4 linked regions of the Drosophila melanogaster genome follow. The protein of the gene in region 1 interacts with the protein of each later gene in a biochemical or structural test. Each region holds a gene or a part of one and is shown in the gene's direction. Other genes may lie near its edges. The genes, in order: DIP-epsilon, dpr18, dpr19 and dpr13.

Region 1 (4,984 bases):
TTTCTTGAGCCGCAGGATGCGGTAGATGAATCCGTTCCGTTGGCAGCGCTGCCTGGTGGTCCTCGATAAGAGATCTGCCTCTGGATCTTGTCTTCCTGCAGATCTGTTCTTTCGCCTAGAAGATGAAAGATACCACTTTTTATTAAAGATGTTTTTAATAATTATTATAAAGTAAAAGCTTTTGTTAACTCTTAAAGAATATCACATATAACTAGTATTTACTGTTTACGTATTTGGTTGCAGTAAGCACCCACTTGGGCGGGAAGCCCGCCTGTGGCACATTGTTTTGTGGCAACCAGCGGCCGTTGCATAGTTTTAGGCTGTTGACCCCCAACTAGCCAATTCCACCCCGTGCTTAGCCACTATTGATTGGTCAGCGGATTTGCGCGCGAACGAAAGTCAGCGGAGTTGAGCTTCAACTAATTGGCCCCACTCACCAGAGCCAGCTGTTGGCCACCCAGGACGTGGGGGGAGTTGTCAGTGAAGACGACGTCGAGGAAGTCGAGTGGGTGGTGGAGTCGGACGTTGAGGTGCAGGCGGAGTGGGCTGGTGCGGCGGCAGCTGTGGCACAGCTGCCAAGGCATGAACCCATGGAGAAGGGGCTGCTCCTGTCGCTGCTACAAGATCCTTGCTGGCTTCGATGCGGCTGCACTTGGCATTTCACGTCACTTTTTCGCCAGCCAGGCGCCACATTTCATTACGCTCGGGTCAAGGCTCCGCGGTGATGGCCCCTTCCCGTGGGCTTTCCGATTACCCTTTTGGACTCCGGAGCCCCTTTCAACGCAACTCCACACACTCCGCGGCACAGAGCGTAACTGTTTTTCATGCGCCGAGTGCGTCGACGTCAGTGAGTGACGGTGACGCCCCCACGCTTTCTTGGCTAAATGCTCCGTAAGCCTAGTGACGGAGTTTCTGTTTGGCCCTGCAGCAGTTGGGTGGTGGGTGGTGGCCACCTTTTGAGAGTCAGCTGTTTCGACTGAGTGTTGTGGCTTTCGCGTTTTGCGCTGTCAAGTGGCTAAAGTCAACAGGAGAGCAAAGCGTCTTGTGACAGGAGCTTTCGTCACTACTTAAAGCTTAGACGGACGCTCAAAGTTAATAAATTCACGGCACGGAGCGCTTTCGACTAGCAGTAGCTTTATCAGGGGTAATAACGGGAAATGTTAGGGTATTGCAGGACCGACATGATGAAGCTTTGCTTGGGGTGTAAAATGGGAAATGTTAAGGCTTGTAGGACCAAATTGTGTGAGCTTTGTTAGGGGTTATAAAGGGAAATGTAGAGCAAAGAAACCAAGTTCTTTTATAAATTTCTCTTTAATGAAGTTTGTATTGCAGCATCCTCTTCTTAAGATAGCGATGTTAACAGCAAGCTAAAGAAGTCTTGCCTTTTGAACTCTGACATTTATGGTCACAGAACTTGGAAATGCGTTTGCAGTCCCTAGCTGTAAATGTGTTAAAGTGCTAAGCTATTATTCCATTATGCCCGCTCAAAGACCAAGTAACAAATGTTCAATGATTAGCGAAGATGAAAAACATGTTTTCACTGTAAGACAGATGAGGGAGTTTTGAGGGATAACTCAAAAATGCTTACACAAGTGATACGCCCTGCTCTATTATGTTCAGAAAGAAATAATACGTTTCTTTATTTAGCTCACATATGCACATACTAATACTGGAAATTCTGCGACCTTTGGCTTTTCTCACATTTTTTCTCTCACATGATGAACATAAAATTTAACCCGCCGCATTAGCTGACGGAACGGATAGTGGAGTGGTGCATTAAAACACTCGGCGGATCGTTGGATTGATTGTTCGCTGTTTTCGGGGCTGTTAGTAGCAGAAAGTGCTGTTTGGCTCTGCAGCCAGGGCTATAAACATATGTAAGCTAACATAAATCACGGCCAACCGCAACATTTGTTTATCTTTTTAACATGCCGCAGCCGAAGTGAATCGCACGACGGGATGCTGCTGCCAGTGTGAAATCGGCTGTCGTTTCGTTCGGTTGTCGTTAGTCTGCGGTACCGCATCCGCATCAGTATTCGCAGTCGCAGTCGCAATCGCTTTTGAATCCCGAACCCGAATCGGTAACGGTATCAGAACCAGAATCGGTTTCGTTAGACGTGCGTGGACGTGGTCTTTCTTATTTGCACTGGCCAAATAGTTTAAAATAGTATTTTCGATTGGCATTAGTGGCGGCGAATGGTTGTTGTAAATCAACTGCTGTGAGTGCTTTTATTCGATATCCCATGCCATTTATGCACCTCCGCTGCCCACCGGAGGAGCTGCTGGCTTTGTGACGGCGTCTGTGTGTCTGCCGCGTGGTCCCCTAATTTAGTTATGTTGCAAAAACGGAGAACGGCAGAGGGAAACATGAAAATCCGTTGTTATGTTGTCTCGCTGCTCTATTTATAAATTGATTTGCTGATTCCTGCCGACATCTGACGCCCCATCCAGCAGCCAGACATTGCCACGGTGAGTTATTAGTTTCTGGAAGCAGGGCGACATCGGATGGAGGAGAACGAAGTTGCAGATGGGGCATCATTGAATAGTGAGTTCGCAGGATGGCCTGTTTAGGGAGCTGCATCTTTTACAAAGGATCCTTCCGAATTGGTTTACATCTGCTGGGAGAAGCTGTGCAGGCAATTGATTGCACTTTGAATGTTTCATTAGCCGGCTTTCAAAATAATGCGAATTGTATGCAAATCTAACTTCAAATTTAATTTTCTTTTTGTTTCATTTATGAAACTAAGTACTAAATGCGTAGCAAATTATTATTATTATTTACATGGCCAATGGCATCCTCGTAAAGACCAATATCTACTTGTTTAAATTAAACCATCCTCTGTCTTTATTTCCAACTTAAATTGTGCGTTTCCAGTTCCCGCGGCACAGTCTGACTCAGATATTTATATATCTTCCTGACGGCCGTCTACGTGGTGGCAATGTGCACCGAAGTGCAAAAGCCGGCTACTATATATGTAAACAAACGTGCAGAAATCTGCAATGATTGTCCGATCGAAAAGATTAATATACCGTGGAATGAAATCGTTTTAAGAGGTAATACGAATTTACGATGCGCTGTTTGCGGTTAGTGTGAAATTGAAGTTTTATGTTCACTTCAGTAATAAATAAACACAATCGTCATTAAAAAGTTAGCTCTAAAGATCGAATCCTTTGGGTGACACAAGCACTTGGTTGAATTCCCTGTGCTGTGGAAAAGAAAAGAAATAATAATTATAATTAAATAATTAATTTCATTTTGATTGATTGATTCGGTTCGGTGTGATTATAGTGCAGAAAGGAAGCACTCCTTTCTCATGCTATACGTACTTTTACCCGAAGAATACGATAGAAGATTTCTGCGCCACGGGCTTGTTGCTATTATTCGTTATTCATTTTTGCGTGTGAAAGGAAATGTAAATTGATTTATTATGCAAAAGCGAGTAAATGCTCCCTAGGAGACGGAAAGACAGAGCAGAAGTCAGACCGGCGGAGCATTCACCGCTGGCTCCTTTTCATCATGCGGCTACATCACTTCGAAGATGTGGGAAATATCCTTTCTGTCTGCGGGGCACAAACATTGCTGTTTACAATGATTTAAATGCATTACGAATTCACGGTCCATTTACATTTCGCGGTTAGTTCTATGGATGCAACAATCGTCGTCGCGTGAAAATACACCAGACAATACATTTTGGTGTACCAAACTATCACGTATTTATGTCATTCATACAATAATACATATATTTTTGACCATCAGTTGGTTGCTTATCAATCAGGTGAACTTTGGGTCATTAACGCTTAAATCTAAAAAACACATTTTATAAGAAACAAAATTGAATCTTATAAGATGTCAATGGTTCACTAAAATCTTCCTCAGCATAACGTTCAAAATCTTTGTTTAGATATCACAACCAAAATGAATGTTAAGTCGGCCGGCTTAGAAATCAATTAAGTTTGCAATTCGGTTTCAATAACCCTTACTTAATGGAAAATCCACAACAGCTGTCCCCAAGGAGGCATTCTAATTGAAATGCATTCATATTGCAATAGAATGAAGAAATTGACGAGACTGGAAGGACCTCCATGGGTTTACTTGACTGCCGTAGCCGGAGTGTAAAACAACAGCTGACAGAGCAAATTGCTTTTCGCTTATGACACGAGCAGGAATTAAAAACAAGGAAAAAATTCTTCTATGCATGCATGCAGCAAAACAACCACGAAAAGGAAGCTGATAATTCTGATGGTGACGATAACGTTGTCCCTGGCATTTGAACGGATTTGAGGTCGTTCGGAGACTTAGGGTTCGTCACTGCTCTGATATCTTCCTAATGCTGATCCTCTTTATTGAAAACTCCTTAATCCGTGAAAAAGATGCAAGCCAGGTGTGGGTCTGGTTAAAATGGCTCATAAAAATCTTAAGCATAAAAAATGGTGTGTCCGCTCGTCTGTCCGTATGTATGATATACAAAATCTCTTCAACTATTATAAATTTGAAAGCTTAGATTAAAGTTTATAAGATATGATTAAGTACGGTTGTAATCAATAAGCCGTGTAAAGGGTATGGGATAGCCGTGTAACACGAAAACAGGTCTCATTCCTTGCGGTAAATGGAAAATTGAGCAATGACAAATTAAATGTACACTTAAGCCTAAAAGCATGAAGCCATGTATAATTTCTTTTTTTTATTAATATTTTCATCAATAATGGCAACCTATAATTTCTCCTCATATTTCAGGGGTAGCGTGCATAAAAGCCAATCGCAATTAAACGTTGATCGATTCCAAAAGCAAACACAACATGAGCCGGAATATACTGTAATGCTGCACAATATTTGTACGCAATAAATAATTAAGTTTTCTTAATTGAAAAGCTAAACAACGGTAAAAAAAAGGGGCATCAAACTTACAGCAAAATGGCATACCACCTCGAAGCGATTTCTTCGTTTCTGTATGTGGGCCTTGGTTGCCTGATTGCCTCCTCTGTG
Region 2 (7,705 bases), on another chromosome or scaffold:
CTTATATGCTTCTGAATTAGGGAGTTCTTTCCATCGTAAGCAAAGAAACAATTGGTTGCGTTGCTAGTAGCTCTCTTTTGAGGTTGTTTACCCATCTGCATTAGAAGTTCGTCGATCCGTTCCGTTTTCAATTTAATAATACTCTCCATGTGGGTCAATCGCTGTTGATAGGCATCGATAATAACATCTTTTGCATGACTATCACGTTCCACTTTCTCGTACAGCGAATATAGGATCATTTTCTGCGGCACCTGAACTATGCCATCGCCGATCTGTTTGTTAACCACAACAGTTTTTATCTCATCATTTTCCTCCCAAAGTTGTTCCTGCCGCAATGCCGCATTTCGTTGTTCTGCAAGGCGTTGTCGTTTCTCCAATCGTATCACTTCATGCAACATGACTTCGGCGGCACCACTAACACCATTCGCCATTTGCTCCATAAAATCTTTAGTCAACGTCATATTTAACTTGGATAACACTTTAAAGTTGAATGTCTCCCAATTGGCCAACTTCAGCTGAACACTACTCTTCTTCGGATAATTGAAGAGATCCACCAAGCGCGGATAATCGCGTTTGAATATTTCGGCCAGCGGCAAAACATCGGAAAACTCGCGACGCAATCTTTGAGTGCTAATACTATTTTGTTGCATCCATTTGTTAACTTCCTCTAACTCTTCGCGGCTCAGATTCTTGCCACTCACGATATGCATCCTTGGTGATAATGATATGATATGCAATAGCAAAATCAATTTGTAAATATGGTCTCGGCTTTATTGTTGTGTGGGTATACACATATTAAAATATCCGATGTGTCTGAGTTTGAGTCTGAATCGGCTAAAAGATTCAACTACAGTGAGTGCAAATCCAAAGCATCCTTTGGGTAGGAATCTTAAATATGGGATAGTACGGTAAAAGCTATTATATTGGGGCATTATTAATACCCCTTTTATTCTTATTTTGAGTCTTGGAAAATTCCCATTCAAAGTCTTCTATGCTTTCGTATTTATAAGTTTCTGTATGATTTGTTTGCCGACAACACCGTAGATTCAATCCCTACTTTTTGGCCTACACTGCACTGGAGTATAATACTTTTCAGTATACACGTATTATTGTATCTTATAATTTAGATCATCAGTTATCTGTTATACTACTTACCGATGTTATACTAATACAATTAATGTATAACAGCAAATCGCGTTCAAGAACACAAGTTTGCTATTTGTAAGCACTGTAAAATGTAATGTAGAAAAGTTTATGTAAAGTATATTACGATTTAAATGCGATTTACTTGTATAGCTTATAGTTAAAAAATTCTACCATGTTAATTATATTCATATCAAATAAAAAGAAATTAAGATAAAAAAAACCTTTGTTGATTGGTATTTAAAATAATTAACTACTGAAAAATCGATTCATTCACTTAGGAACCAACTTTCGCTACCAGCTCATGAATTTCCCAACTTCAATAAAATCCCTGGTGAAAGCTTTGGGACAGACCTTTCTTTCCCCAACTAGGGGAGATGTCCCGAGCAGTGTTGAGTATCCGTATGGACTCAACAGAAATCCCCTTTGAGTGACTCACTCACTGGATTCGAGTGTGCAGACAAGCTTTCGCTCATTTGTGTTCGGCTTTTCATTTGAACGCTTGGAATGGAGTCCAAAGTTTTTGCCAACGACAGTTCATTACGGTTTTCAAGGATAAGCGATACCTACGTGCTCGCCGGATAGAGCGCATGTGAATATAACGCACCAAAGTACATCTGCGTATTTCCTACCGTCTTTATAACATAGTTTGAGTAAATTATCTTTTTTTCAGTGTGTACACAAATGTGTTAATAATAAAATCAAGTATAAACTTCTGTATGCCTGGATAAAGTAATATTTTTTTGTGCATTTTTTTTGTTGTTGTTGTTGCTAACTCAATGTGCCAGTGTATTTTTTTTGTACAAATGTGACTTGTGCCAACAGAGCAAGGGATTTACTAATCGCCGCAATTCCAATCAGGTATCTTGAATGGTAGACAACACAACACATCGCTGCACATGGTAAGTGAAATAGGGATAGAAAAAACGGCTGTCAAACTGCATGAATATTTAAGGGACCAATTAACTGCTGAGCTTAATCAAAAATTCCAGTAAAAAGTTAATCAAATAATATAAATAATTTAATTTAATATAAATTTGTGAAGTTCCAACTAGTATTCGAAAAATGAGACTATTACGTTTCGTTAGCTTTTTATAAATGAATGAATCCGCCATGGGCAAAAAAAAAAATATTAATCTTGCTGCCACAGATATATCATTTTCGATGGGTGTATAGACAGGAAGCTTAGATTATGGTAGAGGAGACGAACTCAAAACGAAATAAGAAAAAATGCCGCTGGCAAGTGTCCCAAAAAGCAAATTCCACGCTACTCACTGGTCTGCTACCAAATATATTGAATCGTTTTTTTATAATTGACAAAATATAATATCCACCGCAAAACAAATTCATTTTTCAACACCTTTAAGTTCGTTTTTGTTTCACAATAATATTTTGTTTTACGTTATTTTAAATTCCAAATTCCACAAGCCAAACACATATGCGCTTTTCATGGCCAGCAATTTTAAAAAGCTTAAAAATTTTAAAAATTATTCATACTTCATACTAAAACCGGGTCGTGTCGCACGGCGCATTTTTTCGTTATTGTATTTGTTTTGTTTTGCATGCCTTGAGCCAAGAATTAATAGTCAGTCCTCCTCCATTATTTGAATAGTTCAGTCCCATGGGCCTAGAGATGCGCTGATCAAACCATTGTTCGAGAGCCTTTAACGTCCCCCTCATAACCTTCTAAGCAAAATCTATAGCCTGCCCCATTAAACTGGGTCACACAGATTCACAATATCTTCAATTTTTACTGCGCTTTAATAAAAATGAACATAGAGTATCAGGCTTTAAGATGTTTTGGTTAGTTTATTGGGCTTATACATAAGTGCTTTTTTGTTATCCATCGGCCACTTGGCAAAACCAACACAAGAAAAGAAATAAAAAAATAGTAGTGACATAAAAATGTGAGAGCAGATTTTTGTACATATAAATGTATCAAGTGTTGTGTCCCGAAGCTCAAGCATTAGGTCACTTTTTCCCAAACTTTTAAATGACTAACATAAAACACTGCAGACAAACCAAAGTTCAAAGTAATTTGTTTGCATTTATTATAATAGTTGTAAGAGTAAGAACAAAGAAATCATTTTCCCTGCAATTAATTCACTTATTCTTGATATGCATCAGCATCCTTGTGGGTAGAAACTCTTGAGCAAATGATTTTCCTTGAATACTTTACTACGTTCTCTTGCAGTAATTTAAATGGTAAAGAAAAGAGGGAAATATACGCTGAGCCATCGACAAGATTCAGTGCCAGAAAGCAGCTGAGTTTTCTCGGAACTAAGATGAAGGTTACTGATTTCTCTCGAGCACATTCCGTAAGTCACGTCGCCCCGTGCAAAGGATGAGGCTTCCGAAAGGATATAGGACACTATCACCAGCATCGAACGCTGCCCAGACGCTACCACTCTCCTACAATTCACAAACCAGTCTGAGCCTTCTTCGGCTGCTCACAATTGCTCTGGTGATTGGATCGCAAGTTCAAGTTCTATGTAAGTGTAGCCCTTAAGTTTCCCTTAACTTTGTTTGCAAAACAGCATTTAAATAACCCCGAAGCCTTTGTTATGACTCCTTTTCCCATGTTTTGTGCTCTTTACTTATCAAGGTAGCATCAGTTAGGGGAAGTTCAATTATTCTTAATGGACCGGGTTTTCTTAGAAACTTACAACGGATATTTAAACATCAAACTTTCTAATTCGGACAATTTGGTAGAAAACTGGGTATATAATACACTTTTCATTCATTTGCGGCTAGTAAAATCTGAAATATTTTGTCATGGGAAGCAAATATTGAAAATATGTGTGTTAAGTTAAATGGAAAAAAGAAAATAAGAAACTATACCATAAAGTCTTGGGCATCCAACGAATAAAACTTTGTAAAAAGTTGTGGCTTAAAAATAATACTACAGATTTACGTCTATAACTACAGAGTACGAATTTAATATTATTCAGTATATAGTTAGGACCTTTATTTCTACCAACCCTACTATATTTTTACCTATTTAACAACGTAACCAAGGTTGTAATTAGTCCTAAGCCCATGAATATAGCATATTTGAATAAAGCCAATGGGGTAATTTAAAAATGGTTAGATATTTCTGAGGAGCTGAGCTCTTGTTTAAATATATTTTTTCTTGCATTCTTCACCTTTTCAATTCAGACACGACATCCGTCGAAACAAAATCCCCCTCCGCAAGTGAACAATCCAGAAACGGCGAGAATCGTTCATTACTTTTTGATGACTATAATAAAACTAAATCGACATTATCAACTGCTGATTACCTGTCAGCCACAAGGGCAACCCTTTACGCGTTTTCATCGCAGGATCAGGACGAGGACCATTCCCAAATGCCAATCGAGGCGTCTAACGCTCCGCACAGCCCCATTCCCACGAAAATGAGTCGGGGTAAAATACCCATGGAGACACCGGGCAGCATGGAGTTTAGCAGCAATAGCCTTCCAATCAAAAATGTAGGGACAACTGATCAGCTGACGACTGTGACCATGCCCACCACAGCATTCGCATCCCTAAAAGTCGACAGAAGTACCATGAAACAGCCAATTGATTCCACACGCACGAGGAATCATTGGACAGCAAGTGGTAAGTGGGATAGCTTTGGTATTATGCAGAACAGCATATAGCAATTGTACAAAAGTACGTGTATGAAAGTTTTTAGCAAAGTTTTCATCGTAAATATTGCATTTTTGGCAACAGCCATTTGATCGAAACAAAATTAATAAATGTCTAAACATGGATTGCCATAACACGTCAGACTCGTTATGAAATTTCAAATCGACTGGCATTCAAGTTTAAAAATTAAATTTTTTGACTTTTTTTTGGTAATTTTGATAAATTTTCCGAAATTTTTTTCTAAATCCGGCAAACAGTATTATGTTTTGGCATGGCTAAAAACCTGCATAACACAGTTGTTTCATTAGCTGTATAATAAATTTAAGCCGAATACGGATTAAAATAAATCACGGAAATATCGAATTCTTGCATAAAGTATTTTCCAGATTTTCGCTACACTTTTTCTGATCAAAACATTGAAAATAATAATAATAATATGGAATGTCATAACTTCTAATTTAATTTTAAATTTTTAAAAATGCGTAATTTTTTGGATTTTTTACCTTAAAAAACGAGGAAATTAAAAGATAAATATTTTTAAATTGGTGATTATAAATAATGATTGTTACCGTTGGAAAAAGGTGGTTTAAAATATAAAATGAGGCATCTTCAAAGAAAACGAACGGATGTACATAAATACATACATATGTATATATGACATTCTTCAAAATGAATGCGGCAACCCCTACGTGTACTACGTGCATACATACATATGTATGTATGTAGTATATATGTATATTCTTAATTTCGATTTAATTTTTCGGAAACTTTTTTAAATCTTGGCAGGATTCGCACGTGTCACAGAACGACCACGTAGCAAGCACCACCACGAGCACCACTGGGGACCCTTTTTTGAGGAGCCCATCAACTCGGCAACCTCGGGTGACAACCTCGTTTCCGCCGTACATTTGTTTACGGAAGCGGTGCTCAATTGCCGTGTCGGTATGCTCAAGGATAAAACTGTAAGTGAACGCCATTTTGATATGTACGCAGATTCATATGTACATACCTTCGTACGTACATACCCATACATACATATACATGCATACATGCACGTAAATAAATATCTATTGTTCTGCACAGTTAATTGATTTCACAAATGATGAAACAACCGAAATAATTGGAAATAAATTAGCTCTCACTACCTATGTGTTCACGGATTTTATTTACTTTATTTACTGTTTTACTTTATAAGACAAAACAAAAAGCAAGTTTTTAAGCCATTAAACCCCTTTTTTGAATAAATATAATTTAGTTACTATTCAATTTGATTGCCTTTCTTAATATGTTTACATCAAACATACAATGTATGTATGTATGCATATGGCAACAAAAAACACCCACCGCCACCACCATTGCATTGAAACTCATTTGTGTATGAGTACTTTTTTACGGATGTGTGTGTGTGCAATATCGGTAAACCAATAAACGCACAAAAATTTGCCCATTTAACCATAAATATTATATTTATTACATACTCATTACACAGGCCTGCAAGTACTCACTTATTATCATTTTACCTAATTGTTGGCACTTTTAGGAGCAACGAAATGTACAAAAACTGATTTAATTTAATTGTTTCGCGGCAGCCATTTTCTTTACCGATGCTCGCAAAATATGACAATGAAATGAGAGAGAATAAGAAGAAGCCGATGAGAGAGCCTATTTTCTTTTCAGCTATTCTCATAATTCGATCCTCCCGTTTGTTTTTGTTAAACCGATAGTCGTGAGAGAGCGCTTTGAGAGAGATAAATGTGTAACGTGTTTTACCGTTTCGACTATTTTCTTTTACTTATCATATGTACGAACATACATATGTACATATATGCCCAATCTTGCGGTTACTTTAAATAAGATTTTGAATTTCCAACTTCCAGGTCATGTGGGTCAGGCGAACGGCAGAGAAGGTATCGCTCCTGACCGTTGGCAACGTGACCTACAGTGGAGACCCGAGAATTCGGGTGAAGTTCCAGTACCCGAACAATTGGCGATTACTTATCAATCCCACGCAGACTGAAGATGCCGGAGTTTACATGTGCCAGGTTTCCACCCATCCCCCCCGGGTATTCACCACAAATCTCACTGTCTTGGGTATGGATACCACCAATTCTAACCTTATAACGAATCCTACATGGCAAGTTTTCCGCTTTCAGAACCCCCCCTGAGGATAATCGATGAGCACGAGAGGGACGTGGGGGATCGTTATTATAAGTCTGGAAGCACCGTCGATCTACAATGCCAAATATCGCGTAGCTTTTTCCAAAAAGAACGTCAGACCATTCTAAAATCAACCGATTCTGCAAACGATGCTGTACAGAAACTAATCAATGAGACGACTAGTGAGCTTAATCTAATTGGCAACGTAAATCAGACGCAACACAAGTTCTCTGGCCAGGATCTGGAGAAATACTTCACCAAGTTTATAACCTGGGCAAAGGACGAAGAACCACTGCAAGGAATGACCAATAGGCGCTTAAGGTAGATTACAAACGATGCAAGTCGGAATTCCTATATACTGTGTCCTGTGTATTGCAGCGTTTCCGATGTTTGGCTAACCAGTCGTATCTCCATTGGAGATGCCAAACTATCCGATAGTGGCAACTATTCCTGTTCCCTTGGCAGACTGTTCACCGTAATTGTCCAAGTTCAAGTGCTCACAGGTAATTAATTAGTGATTGAAGTTTCGTGAAAATCATTTCCCTGATATGTTATATATATCTTTACAGGCGAACTACCCGCAGCTGTTCAGCACAATATTGGTTCAAGAACCGAAATCTATTCCCTTGCGATGTTGGGTCATCTCCTTGTACTCATTTTCCTCTTCACTTGCCTGAAAACCGAAAATCGACATTTCTGAGGCTTTAATCTGAGAAGGGACTGCGGAAAACCCCATAGCCATTCGATTTTCACAAACAATTAACCAATAATATTA
Region 3 (6,249 bases), 4.0 Mb from region 1:
CCATCAAGTGCAAGCTTTTATTTATTTTCGTTTGTTATTTGCAAAATAGTAGTTTTGTTTCATTTTGATCTTTTACAATCTGATGAGTGACTAAATTTAGAGGAAATCTAAAGATTTACTTATTCCTTATGCGCATGGGATGTGATCGAAAAGTCCAAACGCAAGAAGACGATGGTGAACAAGAAGATGATATAAATAAAGCCGCTGACCAGCAGGGGTTCCTGCAGCATAGAAGTCTTCGAGAAGCTGTAGTGGAGCGTAAAGTCCGAAATGTGGCTTTCGACCAAATTGGATTTGGAGAACGAGACCACCGGGCGACCAATGGTATCCAGATAGGTGTGCACCAGCTCATTGGGCAATCGGCTGATGGAGTAGGGCGTGGACAGCCTAATGTCACTGGATCCCTCAGGCAGAATAATCTTGATGGTGGCCTCATCGATGGCCATATTGTCGTAGATGTGATCGATGAGGTGCATCTTCAGCTGGTACTTGTTGCCATCGTTGAACATGTACTCGTACGAGGGCACATTGTAGCCCAGAGTGTATTGCGTTTTCCAGCCGCCGAAGAGCGGGAAGCGCGGACGCAGCTCCAGCTCGATGAAGTCGCGCACGGCGTTCATGTTGGAGGTGGAAATGTTGCCATTGGTGTCGCGGTAATAGACACCAGATGCGGATGCTGGCAGGTAGGTCTTGTACGACTTGAGGGCCGCCAGTCCGGAGCGTCCTTCCTTCTGGAAATCGTAGCGCGAGAACGAGCCCTTCAGCTTGGCCCCGGTGTGCGTCATCTGAATAGACTCCTGGACGGCAATGTTGCCCCAATGCGATATCTCCAGCGTGCGTTCCAGCGTATTGACGGTGACGAATGGTGCGGAGTTCTCATAGTGGATGACTAGTGGCTCCTGGCTGAAGGCTGCACGAATCGAAAGCGTTAGAACAGACGGTTTCTGCTAGGCAGCTATTACTTACCCTCTACGTTTTCGTAGGGTCCCAGGGTGATCTTGTTGGAGGACACCGAAAAGGGTTTGACCTGGGTGTGCGACAAGATGTTCGAGGAGCTGAGCTTGACATTGGTCTTCTGGCTGTTGGTCCTGTACTTGGAATAGAGGTGCAGATTGCCCGTATATTTCACGAACTGCTTGTCGTTCTGCCGTATCTCCTCCGGATGTGGGCGGATGCCCTTAGAGGCCACGGTCTCGACGATGAACGTCTGCTTGGCGGCGGCCCTGGGGAAGGTGAACGTGAAGCTCTGCTCCCCCTTCACGGGCTCATTCCGCTTGAATGGCACACTCTTGTCGCTAGCATCTTTTACGTCAATGTACGCCAAACTGGGCTCCGATGTGAAAAACACGTATTCCACAATCGGCTTGCCGGCCGAATCTTCCGCCGAGATCTTGGTGGTCGTCTTTACCAGCTGCGATGTTAGGTCCAGCGTTCGCTCCACATTTGTGTTCACTATTTCCCCGTTGGCAGTGGCCAGGCAGAGGAGTGCCCCAAGCGCCAGATAAATAACAAAATTCGTAGCCATGCTCGCCTCAAATTTGGACACGTACATTGGAAAATCTCGAAGCGTTAGGGCATATTTAAGACCATTCAGCCGGCAAAGCGGCTCAGCGTGACCGTGTCACGCATTCGTACTTTTACCAGCCACTGCGCAGAATTATCAGGGGTATTCCATAAATATTTTAATTTTTATTCTTATAACAGAAAAAATATATAAAGGGCAGTAACCAAAATAATAGCACTTCTAAATAAAGCTTATTTTGCATCAATTTAAGCACAAAATATATAATAATCATTTATAAAATATTATTGATATATTTTAAGTTCTGCATGCATGTTTTATAGCATACATAATTTTTGTTGTGTTTTAACGATTCTCATTGTTATATTACATTATATTATTATATTATCTTGTTAGCGAAGCACTTATCAAGTACTGACCTAACCTAACTTTTGGCTGATAGCAGTCAGCTGACTGGGCGCCATTTCAATCGATTGGCAGCAGAATAAAACTAATTTTGGAAAGCACCCCACCAAAGTTCGTTATCTATTACCCTTAGAACAAGAATACACGCCGTTGTTACGCCACTTTTGTGCGACTCATGCGATTCTCTATGCCATTCATTATGCCGCCCAGCAGTAAATATGAATAATATTAAATAATTCCTGTCATCATCCCTTCGATTGGCGAGTCGAGTTGGCTTAAACACGCATATGCAATGCAATCCGGAGAGAAGAGACCCCACATAATGCGATTGCGTGAGTTATACGGATGGGGCTTTTTGCCGACTTCAATTTAGTCGACGATTGGCACTTCGAAAACGAAGTTGTATTCGCCGGGGTGTGAACTGCGGACTCTTGGCTCCAACCAAGTAAATTCGAATCCAGAATTGTGCCATTTTCTCTAAACACACACACACACACACACACCCGCACGCACATACACACACCCGCACACACAGAGGCCGCGTGTGTGAAAATATAACGAAAATGCAGTGAGAAATCTGCACTTCTGACGGTCAATACATACAATTTATACATCTTTCACCTGTGTATCTGTATCTGTATTCTCGAAAATATGTAGCTATGAAATAGTCATACGAATGCTTTATGATTGCATAAACAATTAGAGGCGAAATGTGTATGTACGCGTAAGGATTTGCCGAGCAGTCAGTGCAAAAAGAGCAGAAAAACGGGAAAAAAGTGAGTTTTCCTCCATCAATTTCTGTGTATGCATTTCCTCCAAAATATATACATATATCTGTATGCATATATGTATGTTTGTATCCGTGACATGTGTTTTTTTTCTGTGCATAAAATATTAGTGAAGAAAGAAATTGAATTCCTCCACTTAAGTCAAGATTATCCCAAAAAAGAAAAAACATGATACAAGTTTCAAGTTGTTTGCGTGACCCATACATATAAATATCTTGTATCTGCGAGCTATAAAACATACATACATACTCCACGGTGCATCGTTGTTGCCACAAATATTTTTAGAAATACACATTGGACATACATACATACATAAATACAAATGTACTCATAAACTGAAGTTCGTTGCAGGAGGACAATGTTGCTGCGGGTATAAAGTTGAATTAGAAAAGTATACGATCCGCGGAGCCTCGAATTCGGAAATAATGGAACCGAAAAGATGGCACTTGCATTTATCATGTTTTTTGCTACTCCTTAGTTCAACTTTTTCTGGTAAGCAAAGGTCGCCAACTTTATGAATCGTTAAACGATTTTTATCACTTTTGCGCTAAGTTGTATGCTATAAATTGGAAGCGAAAACCTTCGATTGCGTTTTTACTTTATTTTGATTGCTTTTGAAGGTAAATAAAAAAAAATATTAAATACCAAGAGAAATTAGTGAACGAAAAATTTTATTTCTATGCAAAAGTAATTAAAAATAAAACGAAAGCTATGAAAACGAAAGCTATGAAGGCATAGATAAAAGATACATTTTTAAGTTTCATTTTTACATTTTACATTTTTAAGTTTTTTTTTTTTAACATTTCACCGCAAATCACTTTGGATTCATTCATTTCATGTGATTTTTGACACATTTATATTAAGAGATTTTGTTTAATATTCATTGAACAACCATTTCAGATGTCGGGAAGATCACTTCGTCTCAAAATCATTTTGGTAACACCTTACAAAGTCAATTTAATACGAAGAACAACACTCGAGTTATTGCACAAAAGGGAGGACTTGCCATTCTGCCCTGTGTGGTCAAAGTTAACTCCCCAGCCACGGTGAGATATATGTTTTTCTTAAAATTTATACATCGATTCTAATACTTAGACCTTTTGCAACATTTCAGGTTTCCTGGATACGTAGAAAGGACTTCCAGCTCCTGACAGTGGGCCTATCCACCCACAGTAGTGACAAGCGATTCTTGGTGGAGCACACGCGGCACATGGGCCACTGGTCCCTGAGAATTAAGGCAGTTCGGGAGGAAGATCGCGGTTTTTACGAGTGTCAATTGTCTATTTATCCAACTCAGTCAATAGTTATAGAATTAAAGATTGTCGGTAAGTGGACGCAGCTGCCTTACAAAGTTCAAAGCTTAACGGGTATTGAATCTTTTCGTTGTATAGAAGCGGTAGCTGAGATTTCTAGTGCACCGGAATTGCATATTGATGAGACTTCTACTCTGCGACTCGAATGCAAACTGAAGCGAGCTACCGAGAATCCTGCATTTGTTTTTTGGTATGAAAAATAATATGAGTTAGATTTGTAAAATTTTATATTATTCTAAACATAAGACCCAACTTAACCGAATGCAATTTCTTCAATTTAGGTACCATGATAGTAAAATGATCAATTACGACTCACAAGGCGGCTTCGTTGTGACATCGATTGGGCAAAGCAATCCGCAGAGTGGCCAGTTTTACCGTAGCTCGCCGGCGAACAAATCGCGCGCCACCATGCCCATGGAGTCCAGCAATGGGGTGCTCAACAGCCTGCTGGGCAGCTCGGATGCTATCAAGGCACCGGCCGCCAATGTGCCCTCCTCCACGCCCTATATGACGCAACAGCATCAATCCGCCTATCTCCTGAATCCCTCGGTCAGTGTGCTTACTGTGAAGCAAGTCAATTTCCGTCATGCCGGCAACTATACATGTGCTCCATCAAATGCCCGTCCTGCCAGCATTACAGTGCATGTTCTAAGGGGTAAGACCGCCGCCGGTCGATATTTAAATATATGTCATACTCATTGTAATTATAATAGGTGAGAAAACGGCGGCCATGCAGCACGCCAATCGGAGCATTTTGGATACGGAGACCAACGGCAACGGCACCTTCGGATTGATCACATTGGGTGGACTGAATGGAACTAGCGGCGTAACTCTGGCCGGGGGAATCCTCTACTTCTCTGGGCTGTTCCTGCTGATGGGCGCGGTGGTATTCGATCGATTCTCGTTGGCGGCAACTCACAAGGTATTCGTAGCATTTATAATAGTCACTATGCATAGCTGAAACTTATAATCGATGGTATTTGGAATGGAGCAACTTCAATCATTCGAGGATATTATATTTGAGAATATTTGTTTTAAAATAGAAGATTGTAAATAGATCATTGACATACCATATTGAGATGCCGGCGTGGGCATGGTAAGACATTTAAAGTAATCTAAGAATAAACTGTAAATAGACTTCCATTACATGCAATGTATTGAATTGAGAAATAAGATGAGAATTCACGAACTTGTTACCACAAAACTTATAAAATGCATACCTATGCCAATAAGTCATGGGGGATTGAAAACCGCATATTTTGATGGTTCATAGTGGTACGTAAGATATAATGTATGCTTAGATGTTCATATTTATTGACTGGTACTGGTACTGACATTTTAATGTTACAAACAATGGAATTAGCGTAAAATGATAATGATAAAGCCATACAGATTTGTTACCTAATAACTCGGAAAATTTGATCGTCACCTTTAAACTGTTATTCTGCTCAGTGTTCGATATTTAGTATATAGATTGATTTATGTAAGCACCTTTAGAAGTATGCTAATTCATATACTGTATGTACAACTGTAAATAAATATTACTTCCGTGAGCGTTTTCAAAAGCGCTGTCTTCAATCCAAAATGGGCAGAAGTGCCAGTTTCGTTTTGTTTACCCTCGAATACGGAGTGCAAAACGACTTTTAAATTTTGTTGCCGACATAAGAACGTTTTAAATAAACAGATCAATTTTAAGAAACCCGCTTCTGGTTAAGTTATTTGCTCTTCAGTTGGGTGGTACACATTTAAAAAATGAATACGAAAATGTTATGAATATTTTTGAACTCATTTTCAAATGTAAGACCCCCTTCCGATTTCTGTTTCATATACCGCAGTTCCGTGAGGTGCAATCTTAGCTTGTCGTTGTATTTGACACAAGTTATCGATAATTCTACATAGCTGAACTACCATCGCTGAAAAATGTTGGCAAAACAAAAAGATGAGATCCGAAATTTTGGCAAGCGCCTTTTTGGGCCTGGCGGTTAGGTCGATTATCTCGCTGTACTCCTACTCCGGCTTCGATTCCCCGCCGATGCATGGCGACTACGAGGCCCAGCGCCACTGGCAAGAGATCACGGTCAATCTGGCAGTGGGGGAATGGTACACAAACAGCTCCAACAACGATCTTCAGTACTGGGGCCTGGATTATCCGCCTCTGACGGCCTACCACAGCTATTTGGTGGGTCGCATAGGAGCATCCATTGACCCCCGCTTCGTCGAG
Region 4 (4,687 bases), on another chromosome or scaffold:
AAATCGCCGGCCATTTATACGGATACTGGGATACTGGGATACTAGGAAACTGGGCGGCCAGGGAGATTGAGTGTGGGTCAGTGTGCCAGATATCGAGTGGAACGGGGAAGGGCAGGGGAATTAACATACACGACTAGATGTTTGCGGGTCAGGTTTTCATTGCCTGATATATGGTTATGATTTTCCAACGGCAATTTGGCCAGAAGCTGCGACTATTTGTCTTCTTGGGTATTAAATTTGGATGGGCAGCAGAACATCGAACTCATTAAGTGAAATATTAGAGAGGCGTTCGATTTTAATTATTCAAAAGATCGCAAAGAGCTATGTGAAAGGAATTTAATGCATGAAAATTATTTAAAATAAAAATGAACGAGATCTGTATTCTTATTAAACAGTGGTCCATTGCATTTGACTTGACTAATATATCTGAAGCATGAAACTCAGGAATTTAATCTGCAAGACACTTTCCCGCGTTTTAGCTCAGCATTTCCCCGGTTTTCCTTGTTAGCCAAAGAATTCAAGCGGAATGTGACATTGCAGCTGGGCAGATGGCGCCTTCGACGCGAAAATGCTTTCACAGCCTGACAAGGTCTAAAGCGTGTTAGCCATTTATTAGTTCGGATTTCTGGCTAGCCCCAAAGTATGCAACCGACTTCTGCGAGCCCAAACGTGGCCAAAAAAAAAAAACCATGAGCTGGCTGAAATGGAAAGTTAAGTTCGCCCAGCTGAGGGCCCACAACTTGGTACCAACTAATTTCAGCACAATAACCCAAATTGAAGCGGTTTGCTGATGCTTTGTTTGCACCCGATTAGAGCCGAGACGCGTGACGAAGGTGCTTTCGTCACTCGGCGAAATGGCTGCACAAAATGAGAGAGCGATGAAAGCAGGAAGGAGAGAGAGAGTCCAACTATGCGCACAAACAACAAGGAGAAAGATAGAGAGAGGACCGGAAGTAGTGAGTTTGCGATAAATGTTTGCTATAAAAATCGTACCAGCTGTTCACTGAAGATTGACAATCCTAGAAGCTGTTTGAAAACAAATTAAAATTTCAATATATGCACTAAAAAAATTTAGTTTTTTTTGGCATAAAAAAATTTAGTGTCGGTATATGTAAAACTGTTAAGTTGAGCCTTGTTTAGGCAAATTAAGGATACCTAAAAGTTGAATGTGTTGTTAGCCCTAAATCATCTAATCATACACAATTAAATGAAATGGTAATCAAAAATATGGCAAGGATTTAAACCAAATTTAATGATATATGAAACATAATAACCTTTTAGCTTTTACCTCTTTTCTTTAAGTTGATATAATAAGGTTAGCTGCATTAGTTGCAATGTAATATATGTGTTAATAGAACAAGTGCTTAATAACAAAAAAAAAAAACTATAGTATTGATTGCCTTAAACGGAATAGTTGATATAAATTGAAAGGACTGGGTTTCGGTTTCAAAGGACCAATTAAGCAAACATTTCACGCGAACGCAAGATGCTATAAAACTTGAGAGTTTCCCCAAAAGGAAAATGAGAGAGGCAAGTCGAGAGAGAAAGAGAGAGCCAAGCGCACGAAGTTCGTGCAGACTTTTCCGCTGCTGCTGCTGCTGCTGCTGCCACTGCCACTGGTGATGGTGTTGCTACTGGTGTTGCCTGCTTTTCCTTGGGTCCTCGTGTCAGTCGCGTGCGAAAGCGTAAAGTAAACAGACAGGCGGCTAAAGCGGCAGAAGGAAAAGCAGCGAAGCGCTGGAAAAGCAGGAAAAAGCAGCAGCCGTGCAACCGAGGGCCAAACAACAACACCAGCGGCTGGCAGGCGAATTCCCACGCTGCTGCTCAGTCAGTTGAACTTTGACCACGGCGGTAACGGGTTCGGTGCGGTGCAGTGTAGTTTCGGTGCGGTCAACGCGGCGTATGCGCAACGTACATGCAACGTGAGCGCTTTTTTTGCGAAACTATAAATGATGAATTCCAAATGTGCTGGCATATGGCTGCCACGTGCCCCCAGCTAAAATGTGACTAAAGGATTACAAAAAAAAAAAAACGAGCAAGTCAAACAAAAAGCGAAAATGAAACAATGCAAAAAAACGCTTAATTAAAATATGGAAAGTTAATTGCAAATGGCGCTTAGCAATGTGGTCACATCAAATGGGCATAAATCAACGCAGAAAGTGCATTTAATTAGGCTTAATATAAAGAAAACATCAAATAACCGAAAAGTGTGGGCCTAAAAAAATAAACAACAATTAGAGCAGGGGAAAAAACGTTTTAATTAATGCAATGTCATCCAATTGAAATGCAAGTGCAGTGACAAATGAAATCAAATTAAAGCTCTGATAAATTGAATCACAAATGCAAAACAATTGACAGCTACAACAACAAGCGGAAAATAAGTGCAACATCCTCAGCGACACACAGCAACACAAAGCAACAAAATGCCGGCATCAAGTGGATTATATCGCATCAAAAATGGCCGTGTCCTTGACAGGCTGCAAAAACCAGCGGCACTCATTTTTATAATAGCATATATTGCGGCATGCGGCATTTGCGGTAAATATCACACACAGACATTATGACTTTTCACTAAAACTAAAAATCAAATAAAATCCCACATAAAAGCGAGGCGTAGAAATTACAGAAAAATAATGACGCATTTAATACTTTTTCATTTATTTATGCCGTTGATTTTTCAATTTGCATTCCGCTTATTCTGTACTGTTCACCGAACACGATTTAATTCAATTAGCGTCGCTGTAATGCATGAAATATTGTCAAAAGACAAATTGGCGAAATATGAAATTAAATGTGGCAAATATCACGGACGAGCCGCAACAAAGGCCACGAGATTGCCCAAGTCGAGAAATCGTTAATTTGTAACATTTCATTGCCGATGTCGAGTGCAGTGACAGGTCAGGCGATGAGCGCGGAAATCACCTGTGCATCACCTGTCAATGGCTGACACCGCAACAACGGCAATCAGGGGATTCCCCTGCGCCAAACGGCAACAGCAACACTTGTCTCTACAACTGAGCTCACTGAAAGCTGCCCCCTGTCGCCATTTCTCTCCATCTCTTTCGCGCCCTGCATCGCTATCTCTCTCTCTCTCTCTCTCTCTGTGTCTGACTGACTGGCTGACTGGCAATTTGTCAAGCAATCAACAAAGCCAGAAATTGCCCGGCAATAAGACAGAGCGAAAGCGGCAGAACGCCAGTTTGTCCAATCGGGAAAATGTGAATGCGAATAAACCTATTGAACACGCCAAAAGTGGTATAGAATATGCACTGCGATAAAAATATGACACCAGGAACTATCATAATCATCTCTAGTTGCATTAGGTATATTATGTTTCTAAACTATGATTTTTATGCAGGTGTAATCCTTTTGACAATCTCTTTATTCCCTTTTCAAGCTTTACGCATTTTAAACAAAATATCTTTATGAATATTTAAAAATATACATATAATAAATAACATATAGTCAATCGTTATATATAATAATTTAAATTATATTTTTAATATGCAAAAGCTGACTATGTATTCTCAAGAACTATTAGTTCTTAACTTACTTAAATAGTTACAATATACAAAAAATGTGCCTCTTATAATGTTTATAAATTGCTAGTTTATTTGTAAATAATGTTTATTTCTCGAATGCTTGAACGCAACATAAAATTTGGTCTTCAATTTAAGCGATTTTTCTCGCAGTGATTGGTACTCGACTCCAAGGAATACCGATATGTGGAACTAGTACACTGCTTGTGCCACATTTTGTGCGTGCCCCGCGTCGATGGGGGGAGAGGGTGTCCGTAAAGTCGTTGCTAAATAACAACAACAATGGCATAAAAAAGTGCCACGTCTTCACACACATTTGCACGCGCACACACACAGTGGGGCCCTGGGGCAACGCACACACACCGCAGCAACTGCGAGTGCTACTGGCGACTATCTAGCGCATCCATTGTTGCATGCCACACACCAACACAGGCCTTTTGGGCCACACACTCCTGTCGCTGTCGTTGTCGTTGTCACTGTCAATGCTGTAATGAAAAATGCACAAACACAAAAACGAAATACGAAAAAAACAAACAGAATCCAAAACTGCAACTGAAAATAGAAATAAACAGAGGCCGAAATAAATATATTCAGAATGCACGCCAGCTTAGGGCGATGAGTAAAAAAAAATAAAATAGACAAGCAATTTCAGCTGCGCCTGCCGCTTTTTATTTGGACCGCATTAATATTTAGCCAGCCACATGAACGTGCCTAGATATACATTAAGGCTCATATAAATCAATATTTATGCCAGCGGTGCATGTCTGTGGATCGAGCCATGGGATTTTTGAAGGCCAGCGGGGTCGCAGCAAATGCATTACTAGTCGCTGCACCCAAATCCGCAGCTCAATGCATCCAAATATTTGCATAATGTAACCAAAAAATATAAAAAAAAAATATATTTCTCCACTGCACTGCAGGCTATATGCTAAGCAGGGCGACCATGTCACTTTGGGGGCCAAAAATGTGCAGCTACCCATTCCCCATTTGAATGTTTTGGTTGTGAACATCGATATAAACATGGAAAAGATCGAGCGTTGCTAAAAAGCAAAACGACCAAAATATATGTAAATACTCTGTACAAATATTCACTTATTCAATTATTCACAATGCTTAACAAGCGGTTTGTATGACATCCCGTGTTGGTC

The links.
Region 2: the proteins of DIP-epsilon (region 1) and dpr18 form a complex in vitro, tested with the Drosophila melanogaster proteins (one study listed by BioGRID).
Region 3: the proteins of DIP-epsilon (region 1) and dpr19 form a complex in vitro, tested with the Drosophila melanogaster proteins (one study listed by BioGRID).
Region 4: the proteins of DIP-epsilon (region 1) and dpr13 form a complex in vitro, tested with the Drosophila melanogaster proteins (one study listed by BioGRID).

Annotation. Positions count from the first base shown.
Region 1 is NT_033779.5:6,408,312-6,413,295, reverse strand, and holds the start of DIP-epsilon (Dpr-interacting protein epsilon), read left to right. Parts: upstream 1-1,969; 5' UTR 1,970-2,469; intron 2,470-4,735; 5' UTR 4,736-4,912; coding exon 4,913-4,984. Other genes in the region: CG13982 (uncharacterized protein), read right to left, coding at 1-115, 438-592.
Region 2 is NC_004354.4:16,062,065-16,069,769, forward strand, and holds the start of dpr18 (defective proboscis extension response 18), read left to right. Parts: upstream 1-1,673; 5' UTR 1,674-1,754; intron 1,755-1,816; 5' UTR 1,817-2,045; intron 2,046-3,337; 5' UTR 3,338-3,487; coding exon 3,488-3,635; intron 3,636-4,302; coding exon 4,303-4,743; intron 4,744-5,559; coding exon 5,560-5,735; intron 5,736-6,650; coding exon 6,651-6,864; intron 6,865-6,926; coding exon 6,927-7,251; intron 7,252-7,308; coding exon 7,309-7,433; intron 7,434-7,499; coding exon 7,500-7,630; 3' UTR 7,631-7,705. Other genes in the region: CG12395 (uncharacterized protein), read right to left, coding at 1-710.
Region 3 is NT_033779.5:10,374,182-10,380,430, forward strand, and holds dpr19 (defective proboscis extension response 19), read left to right. Parts: upstream 1-1,986; 5' UTR 1,987-2,372; exon of another isoform or gene 2,373-2,703; intron 2,704-3,066; 5' UTR 3,067-3,140; coding exon 3,141-3,207; intron 3,208-3,615; coding exon 3,616-3,761; intron 3,762-3,829; coding exon 3,830-4,040; intron 4,041-4,106; coding exon 4,107-4,218; intron 4,219-4,309; coding exon 4,310-4,683; intron 4,684-4,741; coding exon 4,742-4,989; 3' UTR 4,990-5,724; downstream 5,725-6,249. Other genes in the region: CG33303 (uncharacterized protein), read right to left, coding at 120-910, 967-1,552; gny (garnysstan), read left to right, coding at 5,968-6,249.
Region 4 is NT_033778.4:18,004,885-18,009,571, reverse strand, and holds the start of dpr13 (defective proboscis extension response 13), read left to right. Parts: upstream 1-1,669; 5' UTR 1,670-2,423; coding exon 2,424-2,538; intron 2,539-3,576; exon of another isoform or gene 3,577-4,177; intron 4,178-4,687.